Linked DNA regions of Arabidopsis thaliana. The protein of the gene in region 1 interacts with the protein of each later gene in a pairwise test. Each region holds a gene or a part of one and is shown in the gene's direction. Other genes may lie near its edges.

What was found.
Region 2: the proteins of NPR4 (region 1) and LSU2 interact in binary tests that used the Arabidopsis thaliana proteins (3 or more experiments, as listed by UniProt).
Region 3: the proteins of NPR4 (region 1) and TSB2 interact in binary tests that used the Arabidopsis thaliana proteins (3 or more experiments, as listed by UniProt).
Region 4: the proteins of NPR4 (region 1) and AT2G19080 interact in binary tests that used the Arabidopsis thaliana proteins (3 or more experiments, as listed by UniProt).

The regions. Positions count from the first base shown.
Region 1 is NC_003075.7:10,695,740-10,700,759, reverse strand, and holds NPR4 (NPR1-like protein 4), read left to right. Parts: upstream 1-1,967; 5' UTR 1,968-2,516; coding exon 2,517-3,035; intron 3,036-3,126; coding exon 3,127-3,865; intron 3,866-3,946; coding exon 3,947-4,494; downstream 4,495-5,020. Other genes in the region: AT4G19670 (RING/U-box superfamily protein), read left to right, coding at 1-709, 969-1,377. UniProt on the Arabidopsis thaliana protein: Salicylic acid (SA)-binding substrate-specific adapter of an E3 ubiquitin-protein ligase complex (CUL3-RBX1-BTB) which mediates the ubiquitination and subsequent proteasomal degradation of NPR1 in the absence of SA.
Region 2 is NC_003076.8:8,442,730-8,445,628, reverse strand, and holds LSU2 (response to low sulfur 2), read left to right. Parts: upstream 1-1,527; 5' UTR 1,528-1,872; coding exon 1,873-2,157; 3' UTR 2,158-2,350; downstream 2,351-2,899. UniProt on the Arabidopsis thaliana protein: May be involved in defense responses monitoring. Probably implicated into osmotic stress signaling.
Region 3 is NC_003075.7:13,584,346-13,589,411, forward strand, and holds TSB2 (tryptophan synthase beta-subunit 2), read left to right. Parts: upstream 1-1,922; 5' UTR 1,923-2,218; coding exon 2,219-2,575; intron 2,576-2,950; coding exon 2,951-3,307; intron 3,308-3,382; coding exon 3,383-3,825; intron 3,826-3,912; coding exon 3,913-4,007; intron 4,008-4,098; coding exon 4,099-4,274; 3' UTR 4,275-4,552; downstream 4,553-5,066. Other genes in the region: TOR1 (ARM repeat superfamily protein), read right to left, coding at 3-725; PDIL5-4 (PDI-like 5-4), read left to right, coding at 4,811-4,851, 5,049-5,066. UniProt on the Arabidopsis thaliana protein: The beta subunit is responsible for the synthesis of L-tryptophan from indole and L-serine.
Region 4 is NC_003071.7:8,261,077-8,265,698, forward strand, and holds AT2G19080 (metaxin-like protein), read left to right. Parts: upstream 1-1,623; 5' UTR 1,624-1,741; coding exon 1,742-1,901; intron 1,902-2,455; coding exon 2,456-2,790; intron 2,791-2,892; coding exon 2,893-2,969; intron 2,970-3,057; coding exon 3,058-3,118; coding exon of another isoform or gene 3,119-3,196; exon of another isoform or gene 3,197-3,228; coding exon 3,229-3,373; intron 3,374-3,500; coding exon 3,501-3,670; 3' UTR 3,671-4,062; downstream 4,063-4,622. Other genes in the region: SHT (spermidine hydroxycinnamoyl transferase), read right to left, coding at 1-882; AT2G19090 (DUF630 family protein (DUF630 and DUF632)), read right to left, coding at 4,102-4,622. UniProt on the Arabidopsis thaliana protein: Involved in transport of proteins into the mitochondrion.

The DNA.
Region 1 (5,020 bases):
TGGAGAAAACAAGTAACCTTAATGGGTTTGTTCTAAAGCTTGCTCCTTTCTGTGATCTTGATGAAGCTCTAAGCTTGGCTCAAGTAGCGGTAGGAATCGTGTCTTCTAATCTTGATGGGGATAAACCGATCGAGAACTGCTCGATCTGCTGTGAAGACCGTCAGTCTGAGATGATGCTATCATTGAAATGCACTCACAAATTCTGTTCGCACTGCATGAAAACGTACGTTGAAGGGAAAGTAAAGACTTCAGAGGTTCCCATCAGGTGTCCTCAAGTGCAATGCAAGCATTATCTCTCAGCAGCGGAATGCAAATCGTTCCTTCCCGTCACTACTTTCAAATCATTCGAGGAAGCAAATGTGTGTAGTAAAAACAATGGGAAGATTTACTGCCCATATCCCAATTGCTCTTTTCTGTTAGACCCGCAAGAATGTCTATCATCAGGAAGGGCTAGCTCAAGCTCGTCTACTCAGTCAGAGAATAGCTGCTGTGTGGAGTGTCCAGTCTGTGAGAGGTTTGTGTGTGTGGACTGTGGTGTTCCTTGGCATGCTTCTATGAGCTGTGAAGAGTTTCAGATTCTTCCAGTTGATGAAAGATACCCAGATGATATTACATTGCATCGCTTGGCAAGGTATAAGAGGTGGAGGCGGTGTCAGCAATGCCGTATAATGATCGAGCTTGCTCAAGGCTGCAACCACATGACTTGCCGGTAAGACACACATATATATCTATGGCTACACATTGTTTTCCGTATCTATACATATTTGAACCACCAAAGTTAGGTTTTTGACTTCCAATAAAATATAGTTAGTCTTGACCCTTTAACTGCAGAATCACGGTATCGTAATAACCATATGATTCTAAGGTTTTTTTTTTCTCGCCTACGTTTAAATCTAGTATTCTAGAGCAAGTGTTTCTTTTGCGATTCTTACGCATATAAATGTCAAAACTCTCTGTGTTTTCCGCAGATGCGGGCATGAGTTTTGCTACTCGTGTGGAGCAGAGTACAGAGAAGGGCAACAGACTTGCACGTGTGCTTTTTGGGACGATGATGAAGAAGAACAAGAAAACGCAGTAGAGGAAAACACAATTCAAGAAGTTGAGCAATGGCCTTGGGACACATTTAACTCAATTCCAACTGTAATGGACGCGTACTCAGAGCAAGAAAGATCTCAGCTTGCTCTGATCCAAAGGTTCTTAGCAGGTGGAGGGTTTAGTCTCAGTGATCACCATACTACTTATCAGTCACCGCCGCCTCCATGTACAGAGTCATCATATGTTGAAGCCGCAATGAAAGATCTTCATCAGCTTCCTTGGCTTGAGAGGTTTGTGTCTGTTATAAGTGATGATTACTATGAAGAGTATAATAGCCAGTGAAAGTAGTAGAATTGTAATTTAATAGCCTTGAGGATCCGGCTTGGTTTGGTTCAGAGAGGCCAAACGAGAGTATCTCACTCTCGAAAGTAATTGTTGGGAGGGTTTTAGATTCTTGATGAACTCAAACAAACGAATTGTGATGAAACTATTTGCAATTATAAGAAGAAGAGTTTGCTCATCTCCATTCTACAAATCCTGCAAGAAAGATTAACACTCTTTTATATTCAGTGTTATGTTATGATATTTAATCTACCAAAATTTGGTTGAAGAACTAATCAAAATGAACTTGGTTAGCATCATCATATATATACCAACTACCAAGTAAAGAAAAAGTTTGATAAATTCAATTATTCATGCTCTTCAAATAAAATACAGAACCCATTAAAAAGGGTCCACTTATCATCAATCTACTCTTGCATTATCTTGAGTTTTTGTGTAGACATAACATAACCCATTTTATAAGTTATGACCTTATTAGAAAGGGTCCACTTATCATCAATCTACTTAGCATTTTGTGTATATTTCTCAAAGCTGACGTTATTTAAGACGTCATAGACCCACTTCACCACAACTCAAGTCGTCTTCAATTGCTGACGACATTGCTTACGGTTTTTGAATCGTCGTCACAAAATTTAGGAGATTGGATTAGGAATTGGCTCTTTCTTTACTATTCTCCAAAGACTTTACTATTTGGTCAGTCTTCTTATTTCTCACCTTTAGCTTTTAGATAAACCTCTGATTTTTTTCTCCCATCTGTTCTGAGATTGTCTTCTTCTTCTTGAAATCTTTTTCATTTGTGCAATGATTTTGAAGACTACCCATCTATTCAGTTCTTTCTCTTATGATTTAAGTTTCATTTAGTTTTTTTTTCTCATCCGCCATTTTCGTTGACTTTTTGAAGCATTTCTCGAATTGACTTTGTTCTTCACATTGATTCATTAGAATGTTCTTTCATAAAGTTTGGATCTTTTCTTCAGGGCTTGATTAATTTCATATCTATGATCTTCTCTGTATTGTTTTTGATCCAATCACTTCTCAAAATTTGATCCTTGTCATTGGATTTAGATTTAGGGTTTTTGTATCCTTGGGGATTTGAAGATCAAAAACAGAGTCTTTGAGTGATACTTCTGGGGAACAAAATGGCTGCAACTGCAATAGAGCCATCTTCATCTATAAGTTTCACATCTTCTCACTTATCAAACCCTTCTCCTGTTGTTACTACTTATCACTCAGCTGCTAATCTTGAAGAGCTCAGCTCTAACTTGGAGCAGCTTCTCACTAATCCAGATTGCGATTACACTGACGCAGAGATCATCATTGAAGAAGAAGCTAACCCTGTGAGTGTTCATAGATGTGTTTTAGCTGCTAGGAGCAAGTTTTTTCTTGATCTGTTTAAGAAAGATAAAGATAGTAGTGAGAAGAAACCTAAGTATCAAATGAAAGATTTATTACCATATGGAAATGTGGGACGTGAGGCATTTCTGCATTTCTTGAGCTATATCTACACTGGGAGGTTAAAGCCTTTTCCTATCGAGGTTTCAACTTGTGTTGATTCAGTTTGTGCTCATGATTCTTGTAAACCGGCCATTGATTTTGCTGTTGAGTTGATGTATGCTTCATTTGTGTTCCAAATCCCGGATCTTGTTTCGTCATTTCAGGTTTGAGATAAAGTTTCTTTGTGATTTTGCTGGTAAATAATCTGTTCTTGATTGGTCAAGGCTGTAATGTTGTGTGTTGTTGTGTCTGCAGCGGAAGCTTCGTAACTATGTTGAGAAGTCACTAGTAGAGAATGTTCTTCCTATCCTCTTAGTTGCGTTTCATTGTGATTTGACACAGCTTCTTGATCAATGCATTGAGAGAGTGGCGAGATCAGACTTAGACAGATTCTGTATCGAAAAGGAGCTTCCTTTAGAAGTATTGGAAAAAATCAAACAGCTTCGAGTTAAGTCGGTGAACATACCCGAGGTGGAGGATAAATCGATAGAGAGAACAGGGAAAGTACTCAAGGCATTGGATTCAGATGATGTAGAACTCGTGAAGCTTCTTTTGACTGAGTCAGATATAACTCTAGACCAAGCCAATGGTCTACATTATGCAGTGGCATACAGTGATCCGAAAGTTGTGACACAGGTTCTTGATCTAGATATGGCTGATGTTAATTTCAGAAATTCCAGGGGGTATACGGTTCTTCATATTGCTGCTATGCGTAGAGAGCCAACAATTATCATACCACTTATTCAAAAAGGAGCTAATGCTTCAGATTTCACGTTTGATGGACGCAGTGCGGTAAATATATGTAGGAGACTCACTAGGCCGAAAGATTATCATACCAAAACCTCAAGGAAAGAACCTAGTAAATACCGCTTATGCATCGATATCTTGGAAAGGGAAATTAGAAGGAATCCATTGGTTAGTGGGGATACACCCACTTGTTCCCATTCGATGCCCGAGGATCTCCAAATGAGGTTGTTATACTTAGAAAAGCGAGGTATTGACCTAGTCGATATATATATTTCTCATAGCTTAAGGTTGATGTCTCTTTATTGAATTCTTGTATGTGTCATTGCAGTGGGACTTGCTCAGTTGTTCTTCCCAGCAGAAGCCAATGTGGCTATGGACGTTGCTAATGTTGAAGGGACAAGCGAGTGCACAGGTCTTCTAACTCCACCTCCATCAAATGATACAACTGAAAACTTGGGTAAAGTCGATTTAAATGAAACGCCTTATGTGCAAACGAAAAGAATGCTTACACGTATGAAAGCCCTCATGAAAACAGGTAAAAGCTTAAGGAAATGTACTTTCAAGTTTTATTCTCTGACCACAAGATTGACTGATTCGAAACCGTTCAACAACGCAGTTGAGACAGGTCGGAGATACTTCCCATCTTGTTATGAGGTTCTGGATAAGTACATGGATCAGTATATGGACGAAGAAATCCCTGATATGTCGTATCCCGAGAAAGGCACTGTGAAAGAGAGAAGACAGAAGAGGATGAGATATAACGAGCTGAAGAACGACGTTAAAAAAGCATATAGCAAAGACAAAGTCGCGCGGTCTTGTCTTTCTTCTTCATCACCAGCTTCTTCTCTTAGAGAAGCCTTAGAGAATCCAACATGATCTTGTCCCAGATAAGTAATGCTACTAGAGATAGTTCCTTGGAAGAAATTAGCTATTTTATAGGTTTTGGTTTAGAAAACAGTGGAGATCCCATTTTGGTATTCAGGTTTATTACATGGTTTAGGTTTGATTTTGTATTAAAGGAGATGGATTTTTGAAATGTATAAAGCAAAACCTTTCCTTTTTGCTTTGCTTCTTTCTTTAGTCAGAAAATTGTAATATATGGAAGTGAAATCGAAGCAACGATTGAGCAGAACGAGAAGCACAAGAAAAATGTTAAGCTAGTTAAAAGATTTTCAAGCTTCTTGCAAGAGAATTACTAAACAGGCACTTTCTCAGGGGAAAGATCCTCGTGTTGAATTAATCTCAATACCAAAATCTAAGCCTGCTTCTGATAGCAAAACAGGAACTAGAGAATAGAGATAGTTCCTTTGAAAAGATTGAAGATCCCATTTTGGCTTTAGGTTCAATTTGTATTACAAGGGATTTTGATTTTTAAAATGTGTAAAGGAAAAATATGATGCTC
Region 2 (2,899 bases), on another chromosome or scaffold:
TAAATGGTGTAGAACGAATAGAACAAAAGCTGAATAGATATCTTAATTAGTTTGGTGCGAGTAACGGATAAATGAGTTATCAAATTTTGACTAATGTTTTGAAGTTTCGAAATATATATATGATTGTATTAATCGGTATTTAACGCTTATGATTTTTCAGTTTATACTTGAATCACCCTACTTCTTGAGGTTGGTGTGTTGTCCAAATATGATTCACAAAAACATGACCAAGAGTAAAATCAAACCGCACCGTATTATTTTATTATGCTTCATGACACCATTCATAACCAAAGTCTTCTTAGTTTTCCCCATACACACCAATAAAGATACTAAAGAAATAGCTAATAAGTAATTTAAGAACTATGAATCGTAGCCGTAACTTTAACTATACAAGAATAGCTGTATAATCGTGACAGCCCTTGACTTTGGGAGATATTGTCCAATACTCCAGTTAAGAGAAAGAAGTGGGAATGTGGGTTACATCGACAAAGGCTTTGCTCCAAGTTAATTAATGGCTATAATTGGCGGAATATATTAGTGGAAAATATAAAGGTGAGAAAATGATTTCTACATGCCTTTTAGCAATTAAGAGAAATAGTGGAAAACAATTATTTTCTCTATATTCTATGAAATAGCAAAACAGAAAAGAAAGAAAAAAGAAAAAAAAGAAGTTCCCCTTTGAAATAAGTGGGGTTTCATTGAAAATTCAAATAGTACTACTCTTTCATTCTTTTAGTGTCCAGTCAACGTTCTCGAGAAGAAAATATATTCAACGATTAGTTTGTTGTTACATGAGTTTATTGAATTAAGTTTTTAGAATGAATATATAAAATCTTGAAAATTGGATGCTTCAGAAGCAATTTTCAGAAATTTTGTTCAATTCATGGTAATAAAATGTTCAATTAATTAAAGTCATTTTTCAAGTGCAAGAATGGTAATGTTAGCATAATACAGCGGATATATATATCCTCTTTGAGGATAAAGAGTTGGTGGATATAAATATAACTCATGTTATTTCAATAATAGTCACAATCTTTTCTTTACATGCGTATATGAAAACATATTTGCACAACTTATTCCTGAGTTTAGGACCATTATTAAGACGATGTATTATTATGATCTATTAACATATAGTTGTCTTTGATGAAATTGACAGCTCATTGGGGCTATAATGTAAGAATTGTTCATTACTTTTACTTACGAGCTACAGTTTAGACTTGTATAAATAGATTGAATTACTAGTATTTATGGTCCAGTAAATATGAAATATTCATTACTTTATATGTATAGCAATTAGATCAAAGTAAAATGGTCCAAAATATGTTTTAATCCACTTTATTCAATTAGACAAAGAAATTTATTCATTCTTAGAAAGCAAATACTCCATTTTAAAAAAAAAATATCAGTTTAAACAAATATTTTTCATTTTAAATCCGTTGCCATATGTATTATTGAAATGACAAGAGTTATTATGACTGAACCAATACATTTTACTATATTGATTGATAAATTTTTATTATAACTTATCTCGTGTCTCCTCTAAAAACAAATTTGTCTCTAACCAATAAAACAATTATATGGTACCACTAAAATATTCCAAAATATTAATTGGACCCAACGTGTATATCGAAAATAATTTAAAAGAGAAAATGTTCTAGAATCTAGAGGAAGAAAATAACTCACCAGAAATAAGAAAGAAGAAGAAGAGATATAGATACATTGAACCTAGACATAAAACCCACCCAAACCCCAGTCTCAAAGACGCCTATTAATAAGGAACGTTCAAGAACCAAAACAAAACACAAAAAAACTCAAAGTGACCAAAATAACCAAAAGGAGAAATCTTTAGAAAACCTTTAAAAGTTCTTAAAAATGGGGAAAGGAGGAAACTATGTGACGGTGGCGGCTTCCGAAGTGGACGAGCTACGACGGAAGAACGGAGAGATGGAGAAAGCTGTGGAGGAGATGAAGAAAGAGATGTTGCAGTTGTGGCGGCGGACACAGGTGGCGGAAGAAGCGGAGGAGCGTCTCTGCTCACAGCTAGCCGAGCTTGAAGCAGAATCTTTAGACCAGGCTCGTGATTACCACTCTCGTATCATCTTTCTCATGAACGAGCTCTCTCGTCTTTCTTCAGACTCTGCCTCTGCCTCTCCGTAGAATTAGATAGATATTTGCTTTTAAAGAAAGATAGGTTTTTTAGATTGTTTGATGTATCCTCTTATCGGCTCATATCAATGCCAATATGTAGAGTTGTCTTTAAAACAAATATGGAAGTTTCAATCAAAAAAAAAAATCGATGTTGTTACCGATTGATTTTTGCGATTAATGATGAATGAAAAGTCTTGAAAACAATTTAAAGTAAATGATATTCGATGTTTGGTTTGACTAAAATGGAATTTTGTTTGTAAGACGTGTAAATTACTTTAACAGAAAGAAAATTTAAAGCAATTATGGTCATGTTTCCTATTATTATATGTGAAATGACCAAATTACAAATAAAGATTTTGCTTTTAGATTTTTGCGTATTATATGAAGAAGTGTTTGAATTCTACTGAATCATTGACATTGCAACAGTGGTTTTGGTCTTTCTAGAGTTTGACATAGTAAAATTGGAGAACTTGGTTTGCTTTTGGGAGAAAAAAGGGAAACGAATATACGGATCCAACGCCAGTGTACTATGTACAAATATAAACAAAGGGTTTGTTTTTGAACAAATCTAGTTTCTGACAGAACCAGGTGACCTGACGTGGGCAAACAAGTCTAGTCTTTTTTTTTTGTTAACCAAAACCCTTTAATTTTTCATAAATTGTGATGCAATTAAAACAAACAAATATTTATAATGTTTTTTTTTTTGAAGTATAACTAGAATTGTCTTTGGAGAGACTTGGAAACTGATGAT
Region 3 (5,066 bases), 2.9 Mb from region 1:
ACCTGAGAGAGACTTGAAACAACTGGCAAAAGGGAAGCCTTAGCAAGGAAACTGGAATTGCTCAATAGCTTGCAAATTCTAGGGCAAAGCTTTTGGAAAGAAGTAACTGGAGGACTAGCAGCTGATTCAACCATCCTAGCCATACACATTGAAGCTCCAGATTGTACCACTTTGTTCTGCTCTCCCATTGCCTCAAACAATGGCTTAACGAACAAACCCACCGCTAACGACGCTGAACCAGTATTAGTCCCCTCTTCTTTTCCCTTGAGATAAATCCCAGACAAAGCACCAATCGTATCTCTACAAGCATCCCTAACTCCAGAATCAGAATCCTTCAACCGTTTAACTATCTGAGCGATGATTTTAGTGAGATGCGCAGCCGTCGAATCGCAATGGAGACTACAAACGTAGGAGAGAAGATGGAGACACTCCTTCTTCACTGCAGGTTTCGGATCGGAGCACGAATCGTAGAGACAATTGAGAAACATCGGTAGGGTTTCGGGAGTGAGAGATTGAATAGTTTTCTCGAGATCCTCGACGGCGATCTGGTATGTATCTCGATCGGCGAGCTTAGAGATTGAGGTAAGGATCTTTTGCTTCAGCTCCACCATTGCTTGGAACGAAGTGAGGGAACCGGAATTGGAACATGACCTAGTTGCTAAACTCGACGACCGTGCTGGTCTCGTCGGTTTCGCCGCCGAACCGGAAGTTGTAGGTGTGCTCATTTCTAAATCTCCGACGAGAGATTAGATTAATCGGAGAAGAAGATAGACGAGTTGGAGAAGAAAGACGAGATCTGACACTCGAAAGTGTAACAGTTAAGACTGGAATCAGAAATGTGTCGCTCAATTTTATTAGTATTTCACTTTTTCAATTTTTTCAAATTTTAATATTGCATAATTTTCAGTATCTGGATTTTGCATTTGTCGCGGAAAATCGGGTGTGAAAGACAAAGTATGAAAATATAGTTTAAATTCGTGATACTTCGTTTAAATTAATAATCAATAATACGAGTTCTAGTGTAATATATAAACATCCATGCAAATAAGTTCGGACATTATCAAATTTAGAGACATCACGTTCTACATTATGGATTGTTAATTTTTATTTCAAAATTTAAGTTAAAAAAAATAAAAATAAAGAATCTAATTATTCAAAATGTCAAATTGGTTTCTTGTACAAAAACATGGCTTGATATATGGATTAAGGAATTTTTTACATGGTACTATAAGTCAATAATGAATGGTTCAAGGAATTTTACATGGTACACTAACGAATGCTTTAAGGAATTGTGATTGCTATTAGTTGTTTAGGTTGTCGTTAAGATTGTTACGTTACGTACACTTTGTTGGAGTTAGAGTCGAGCAATGCACATTGGAGAGGCTTCCGAGTGAGTCCGCATGCATATACCATTCATTTTTTAGCTTCAACGACTCAAAGGCCTTCGTCTGGTGTTTAATGCACGTGTGTAAATCATAAATGGATCAGAGGCTGGTGGTTCATCGGACCAACAAGGTCTGCCTAAATGACAAGTTAAGACGGTAAAATCGATAAGAGACAAACCTTACCGATTTGATATTTATTTTTTTTGGTTCGAATATGTAATCGATTAGTGTCATTTTGACTATTTGCATGTTGGTCATTAAAAGATCAACCACATTTTATTATTTTAAGTACAAAATAAAAAATACAAGAAACTTAATAAAGTTTTGGAAAACGTTTAAAAATCATGAAATTAAACTAAAACTATATAGTTAGTTCATTTGTATTAATTTAACCATAAGTACATGTCTTTGTAATCCTTTTATTTATCAACTCCACCAAAAACAAAACGAGTAGTAGTACGTCGTTCATTAGCACTATTAGAAGCCTTTGAATCATATTAGCAAAAACTGCTATACGTCATTTTGTCCAAAGAGGACGTTTACCAAAAGAAAATAGATAACACTAAAATTAGGCATGTGATAAACACTCCAACCCCCAAAATGTACACCGCCCTATTCTCACCAACCTCTTCTGACTCTTCTCTCATTTTCTGTTGTTCACAAATAAGTTAACGTGGTACCGAACTACCGATTTCCTCCACTATTTTATTGAATTTCTGGTCAAAAAACTTAAGTGTTACATAACGAATCTATAAAAAGAACCCTCACTTTCAAGGTTTTTGTCAGCAAAACATTTGTCTTCGTGTTTGAAAGCTAGATAAAAGATTCACTAAATGGCCACCGCAAGCACCGCTGCTACTTTCAGACCCTCCTCCGTTTCAGCTTCTTCCGAATTAACCCATCTGAGATCACCCTCCAAACTCCCCAAATTTACGCCTCTGCCATCGGCTCGCTCACGGTCCTCTTCTTCGTTCTCCGTCTCCTGCACCATCGCTAAGGACCCAGCTGTTGTCATGGCGGACTCGGAGAAGATTAAGGCCGCTGGATCTGATCCGACTATGTGGCAACGACCTGATTCATTCGGTCGTTTCGGGAAGTTTGGCGGCAAGTACGTCCCCGAAACTCTAATGCACGCCCTCTCTGAACTCGAAACGGCTTTCTATTCGCTCGCCACCGACGAAGATTTCCAGGTATGCCTGCTGATTTTGTTTCCATCTTGTTCATAGTTTTTGAATCGATTCGAAATGATTTGGCTTTGTGAGTTTCTGATTCAAGCGTTGTCATTGCCATGGCTAGTGATAAAGTTTAAAAAACGGATTTTTTTGTTCCAATTCTAAAAAATAATCTGCCAAACAATGTTAAGCCGTATGGGACAAATCGATTTGTTTGCGATGTAGGATGTAATTCTGGGAAAGTGTTGTATTTTTCCAGAAATCTGGAAACGACATTCATTTCATATTCTTAGTTTCTTCAGCATTACATGCTTCTGTGTGATGTAAGTTAGAAGTCTTTTTGGTTAGTTCGTTTGTTGGGCAATGTCTAACTAATGTTTGATGAATCTGTAGAGAGAATTAGCAGAGATCTTGAAAGACTACGTTGGTCGGGAAAGTCCTCTTTACTTTGCAGAGAGGCTCACGGAGCATTACCGCCGTGAAAACGGTGAAGGGCCGCTCATATACCTCAAAAGGGAAGACTTGAACCACACCGGTGCTCACAAGATCAACAACGCTGTGGCTCAGGCTCTTCTCGCCAAGCGTCTAGGAAAGAAACGAATTATTGCTGAGACAGGGGCTGGTCAACATGGTGTAGCCACAGCTACTGTGTGTGCACGTTTCGGTTTGCAGTGCATTATCTACATGGGTGCTCAAGACATGGAGAGACAAGCTCTTAATGTGTTCAGAATGCGTCTTCTCGGTGCTGAGGTGATGTGAATTCTCTGCGTAAACCTTGCAAAATCGCAATGCTTTCAAATTGTTATCTAAGTCTGATGCTTGTAGGTAAGGGGAGTCCACTCTGGAACAGCCACTTTAAAGGACGCAACTTCTGAAGCTATAAGGGATTGGGTGACCAATGTGGAGACTACACATTACATATTGGGATCCGTTGCGGGTCCTCATCCTTATCCTATGATGGTCAGAGACTTTCACGCGGTGATTGGTAAAGAAACAAGGAAACAAGCGATGGAGAAATGGGGCGGGAAGCCTGATGTTCTGGTTGCTTGTGTCGGTGGTGGTTCAAATGCTATGGGACTCTTCCATGAATTTGTCGATGACACAGAGGTTCGAATGATTGGTGTGGAAGCCGCTGGATTTGGATTGGACAGCGGCAAACATGCTGCCACATTGACAAAAGGAGATGTCGGTGTACTCCACGGAGCTATGAGTTACTTGCTGCAAGATGATGATGGCCAAATCATTGAACCACACTCCATCAGTGCCGGGTAAGAGATTCTTCTCTGTTCAAAGTTGGTTTTAAGCCACATGTATCTGGTCACCTGTATCTAAAGAGTAAAAGTTGATGTTATCAGATTGGACTACCCTGGAGTCGGACCTGAGCATAGTTTCCTTAAAGACGTGGGAAGGGCTGAATACTTTAGCGTTACTGATGAAGAAGCATTAGAAGGTACTTACTTGACACTTCATTTTTCTCCTTTTAGATGTTTCTTTCACAACTCATGAGAACTTGCATTGTGTATTCTAATCTATGCGTGTAGCTTTCAAGAGAGTGTCTCGGTTGGAGGGAATAATCCCGGCATTGGAGACATCGCACGCATTGGCCCATCTGGAGAAGCTTTGTCCGACGTTACCTGATGGAGCCAGAGTGGTATTAAACTTCAGTGGGAGAGGCGACAAGGATGTTCAGACTGCAATCAAGTATCTCGAAGTTTAAAGAGTGTAGATTACTTTCATTTTCACACAGTGCTATTTCTTTTATGTAGTTTGTTAGTTCTCCTTGCTTATGGTCGGGAATCCAAAAGTTTGGATCAAAGGGTTAAGAAGAGAATAAGTGTTATGAATGTATCATATAAATAAAAATGTTCTATGGAACGTTTGATGTTCTTATAAGCAATTCGAACTGTTTTGTTCTTGACTTAGCTGGTTTTCCCTTTCATATCTTAATTTCACCAATGCTTAGAAAAAACAACTCTGATCGAATGATTTATAAACAACTCTGCTCTTTAATGGTGATCATTGTAAATTCAAACTTGTGTATTGTTTGTACTAATTTGTTCTGATAGAAACTATTTTGGGTTAAATGGGAAACGGGTCAAAGCATAGGGGGCTAGTGTTGTAATTTAGTAGATTGGGGAGGAGTTTCAAATCTGAACGCTGAAGATAAATCACAAGGGAGGTGCTTCGTCCTCGAAGCTTTTAGAACTTAGCCAAGCAGCTGTTGTTTCTTAGTTGACTCCCTCTCCGACGAAAATGGTGTCCACGAGCAAGATCAAATCCGTTGATTTCTATAGGTTTATGTCTGTTACTTTGTGTATTTTTTTCCCAGATTTCTCCAGCTTCTTTCTCCTGTTATATAGATTTCGAATTTCATCGATCTAGGCATGTGACTTGGATTTGTAGTGGTAGTTTACTATGAATTTTACTTGGGGAGAATCAACATTTTGTGGATTTTCTTACTCATTAGTGATAGGGTTTAGTTGTGGACAAGCGATCCTGAAGTTGTAGG
Region 4 (4,622 bases), on another chromosome or scaffold:
ATCTATACAGATTCCTAGAGCCGTTGGTTGCTCCGGAGAGTGGCCACGTGCTTTACACGCGCACCTCCACACGTGTCCGGTGACGGTCTCGTACCTTGTAAACCCTTTCGCCGGGTCAGAGTGTTTGCTTCCGTTGGCTTTACTTCGTAGCTTCTGCAGCTGAGATGTGCTCAGTGGTAGCATCACCACAATCGTTTTCTTCTTTCTCTCTTCTACATTGTCCGTTTCTCCGATCAAAAACGGTGGCTGATCAAACTCTTTGTGGTCGAACTTTGGGGGCGACACAAACGGTGGGAGCGGTTCACCAGCCCAGAGGATTTTCCGGTCTAGAAATGGAACGGTTTCTAACGGTTCACCGCGCGCGAGTCTTCCCCATTCCGATATTAAGTGAAGCGCGCTTTGGCCATCTACGATCGCGTGGGAAACGTTGACGCTAAGGCTTATTCCACCGCATTTGAATTTGGTTACCTGAGCTAAAAATAGAGGAATCGTTTCGATAGGGTTTTTATAGTTTACTTGCGGCATAAGATTCTCGAATTCCGGCGTAGGAGAGAAGTCTTTGAAATCCGAAAGCTTCCCCTCAGATTCCGCTTCAATGAATTCCACTCCCTCGGCGTTACAATTGAGCTCGAACCGTCCCCGAGGGAGCCATCTGAGACGGCCAGCCATAGGGTAAAAATGGACTAGCACACGGCTCAACGAGGTTTTTAGGATTTCGACTACATTGCCTTGGAAAGATTCAGATGGCTTGTCGTAAAAGTAAAGGGTGGGAATGTGAGTAATTGTACCAACTTGATCCCACTCGGCTAAGGGAAACCTACCGCTCCACGTTGGTTCGGCCGGTACTATAGTGTAAGATTTTCTAAAAGTTATGGGAGCCATAACACAAACCCCCTTTCTTTTTCTCTTCTCTTTTTGAAGTTCGTGCTAAAGTAATGTTTATATAGTACACAGAATCATATGGATTCAACGAATTTTTCTTGCTGTTAGTCAAAATTCAAAAATGTTTTTCTCGTGGTTTAGTTTGTTTCCTTCGAAGCAGCTTAATTAGTGGAAGTGAGAATAAGGTTTAGTTTTGTTGGTTGTATATGATCACGCGTATTACCCTTCTTCTCTATTTTGTTCACATTGTGGATGAATATATATTTCCACGAAAAAATGAAAAAAAACGAGGTAAGAACATATAACATAAAATTCATATCACTATTAGGGAATGTGTTATACTTTTTTATGCAAGTATATTCCAAAGTATAAATTCTAAACTAAATCCTTAAGTATATATCATAAACTCTAAAAAGAAATGGTAAATCCAAAATACTAACTTCATAGCATTAAATTCAAAAGCCCACATCGCCAGTTTTGATTATATCTTCTGAATTTAAGTTGAGTTTATTTTTATAAAGTCATCTTGAAGAAAAAAAATGTGGATGATGTATTTTACACTGTTACACAGTAATTTTAGTTTTTACAAACTAACAAAAAGGAGAAAACAATTCCACTTTCTCCGAGTCTCCTCCTCCAGTAGTTTTGTCTTAATGGGTAATTTGTGGGCCTTTTAAAGCCCAAAATGAGTTATCGTATTAATAAACCCTAGTTTTAAACCCGACCGACTAAACCTTAACCCAGACCCGGACTCGACTGGATCTTCTCTTCTCGCCCCATCTCTCTCTATCGACGATCGAACTTACTTGAGTACTTCTTCTTCTTTTGACCAGAGCTCTCACACATACGAGTCACTATAATGGAAGGCGATCAAGAGACGAATGTTTATACTTTGGTGGCAAGGAAGCCTTCCTTCGATCTCCCAACAGCTTGCCCTAATTGTCTTCCTGCTTATATATACCTGAAATTAGCCCAGCTACCTTTTGAACTTGCGTTCAATTCAACCTTCCCTGATTCAGGTTTGCTTCTGTTTTGATTCCTCGCTTCGTATTTTGGTTGTTGTTAGATTAAGGTTTTGGTTGCGTGATGTGTATCTGTTGGAAGTGAACATTGTTAATTCTATTAGCTTGAATTGAGATTCGAATCCTAGACAAGATAATTTTGAGTTCTGGATTCGAATTCGTACTATTAAGATCCTGCTCTTAGGTTAATCAGAGTTTAGATAGGGTTTTTAGGCAATAGTAATTCAATTTTGAGGTGTATATATGCATTGGTGAATTTTTCTGGATAGGAAGTGTTCATCATAATTTCTTGTTATAGCTTTGGTTGAATTCCTCGTTATCGTAATTGTTAATTCGAAGAGAATGATGATGTTTCATACTTGTTCAGAAGAAATTAGTTGTTTGATTTAGCTATTGAGTTTGTATATTAACAATATCTTCAGAATTTCTATGTTATGTTTGATAATATCTCTAGACACTTCGTAATCCTTTGTTCACGGATTTACAAATTTGTGCATTCAATATTTATAAGCTTGTGTATTGACAATGTTAATCATTTGTTTTTAATATAGATGAACTGCCGTACTTTGAAAGTGATACATATGTTGCATATAACAATGAAGATGGAGGAGTAATTGAAAAACTGAAGAAAGATGGGATTGTTAATCTGGACTCTCAGCTACAGTCTCTTTCGGATTATTTATCTTTGAAGGCTCTTATTGTGTCTTGGCTAGAAGAAGCGCTTACCTATGAGATATGGGTTGGTACCGAGGGGATATCTACATCGAAAATCTACTATTCAGATCTTCCTTGGGTGATCAGCAAGGTCCTGTTTTATAAGCAGACATACTTGGCAAAGAACCGTTTAGGAATCACCAAAGAGAACGCAGAGCAAAGAGAAAAACAGGTCGGGTTTGTTTAAGTTTTGTTGTTACTTTAGAAGACCTGTGGTTTATATTTGTGAGCATTTGAACTAGTTATTAAAGTTCATAGTCTTAAATGTGAACAGATATACAAGAGAGCAAGTGAGGCATATGAAGCTTTGTCGACTAGGTTAGGTGAGCAGAAGTTTCTCTTTGAAGACAGGTATTGCAATCACATTCCGGAACTGGATTCTTTCCCTTAAGCCTTTTTGTAAAAGATTGACAATGTTTATATTATTCTCTTCCCACAGGCCATCGAGTTTGGATGCTTTCTTACTCTCGCACATACTTTTTATAATCCAAGCGTTACCAGTGAGCAGCTTTAAATTTCACCAATATATTTCTCAGTTATGGGTTTATCAGGTTGAATTTAGCCTTAGAACTATTTAGATGAAGTAGTTTTCTTAATGGTGCATGATCAGGTTACATCAGTGCTTCGGTGCAAACTTCTGGAACATAGTAATCTTGTGCGATATGCTGAGAAACTTAAGTCAGAGTTCCTTGAAGCCTCTTCTTCATCTCCTTCACCTCCACTTCACTCATTCCCTTCCTCATTTCCAAGAAAGAGTAAGACACATCTAACCTTCAACGTCCATATCATATATATTTCATCATATTATATATCTGTCATATATGCAACATTCATTGGATATGTTTAAGCCTGTGAAGGAAGTGAATTTCATCTTTTGTTCAGGTTCGAAGCCAAAGAGCAAACCAAAGGTAGAAAAGACCGAAGAGGAGAAAAAATTTAAGAAAAGAGCAAGGTTCTTTCTAGCTGCTCAGTTTCTAGCTGTCGTCATTTACGTATCAGTGATGGGAGGAGGTAGTTCTGATGAACTGGAGTATGAAGATGAAGATGACTAAACTAAAGCTTTTCTTATTAAATGGACCGGTAACTCTCAGGCGAACTCTCTGAGACTAAGATAAAAACATAACCAGTAATCTCTACGCTTTTTTCTTCTTGAACTCTTAGTTATGGAGAGGATACAGATGTGAGATTTAGTCACATTATAATGGTTTTCGACTTTTCGTTCTGAAGGAGAGCTTTTGGCTTTTATATAAATTTCATTGGTTTTTAAGGCACATCATGGGAACCGATTCACCGGATAAAATACCGAGGAACATTAGAAGACTCTTGGTACACATCCTCAGAATCAACTGAACTAACTCTATTTGTCTTACTAAATAATACAAATCTCATCCATCTAAGAAACTATCTTCTGATAGCAAAAGATGATGCCAAAAACCTACCTAATTCTAAACTCTCTAAAACCAAACAAAATTAATAACAAGTACTAGGAATTGAAATTTACATCCGGGGGCTGCTGCTCCGACGCATCGTCTGCTGGTTGGCTAACAAGCTTCGAGTGTTCATCGGCCGAGTTGATGGAAAACTCAGCTAGTGAACTAACTGCAACAGACATTCCATGGCAGAGAACCTTCACAGCAACCTCTGCAAGTTTCTCAGCAGTCATCACAACATCTTCTTCTCCCTTATCAGCCACTACAAGCTCCATGCTTTCTGACCCGGAGTATCTCCTTGACCCGCTTCCACTCCAGTTTGGATCTTCCCTAACTTGCCTTGCATATATTGAACCCATCCCTGAGGCAAAGAACTCAAGTTTGTCCAAAACTGGTTTTTCATTCAAGCTGTTAAGCAACCTTGACCATTGAATGCAGACTCGGTATATCGGGTGAAGACATGAGGATAATCTAACTTTTTCGGGGTCAGGATCACATCTGAAACATCTTAGAAGCCAACCAGATAATGCTTTCATGTAGGATCTCTGAGAGGTGATCCAGAATTCAAAACAGG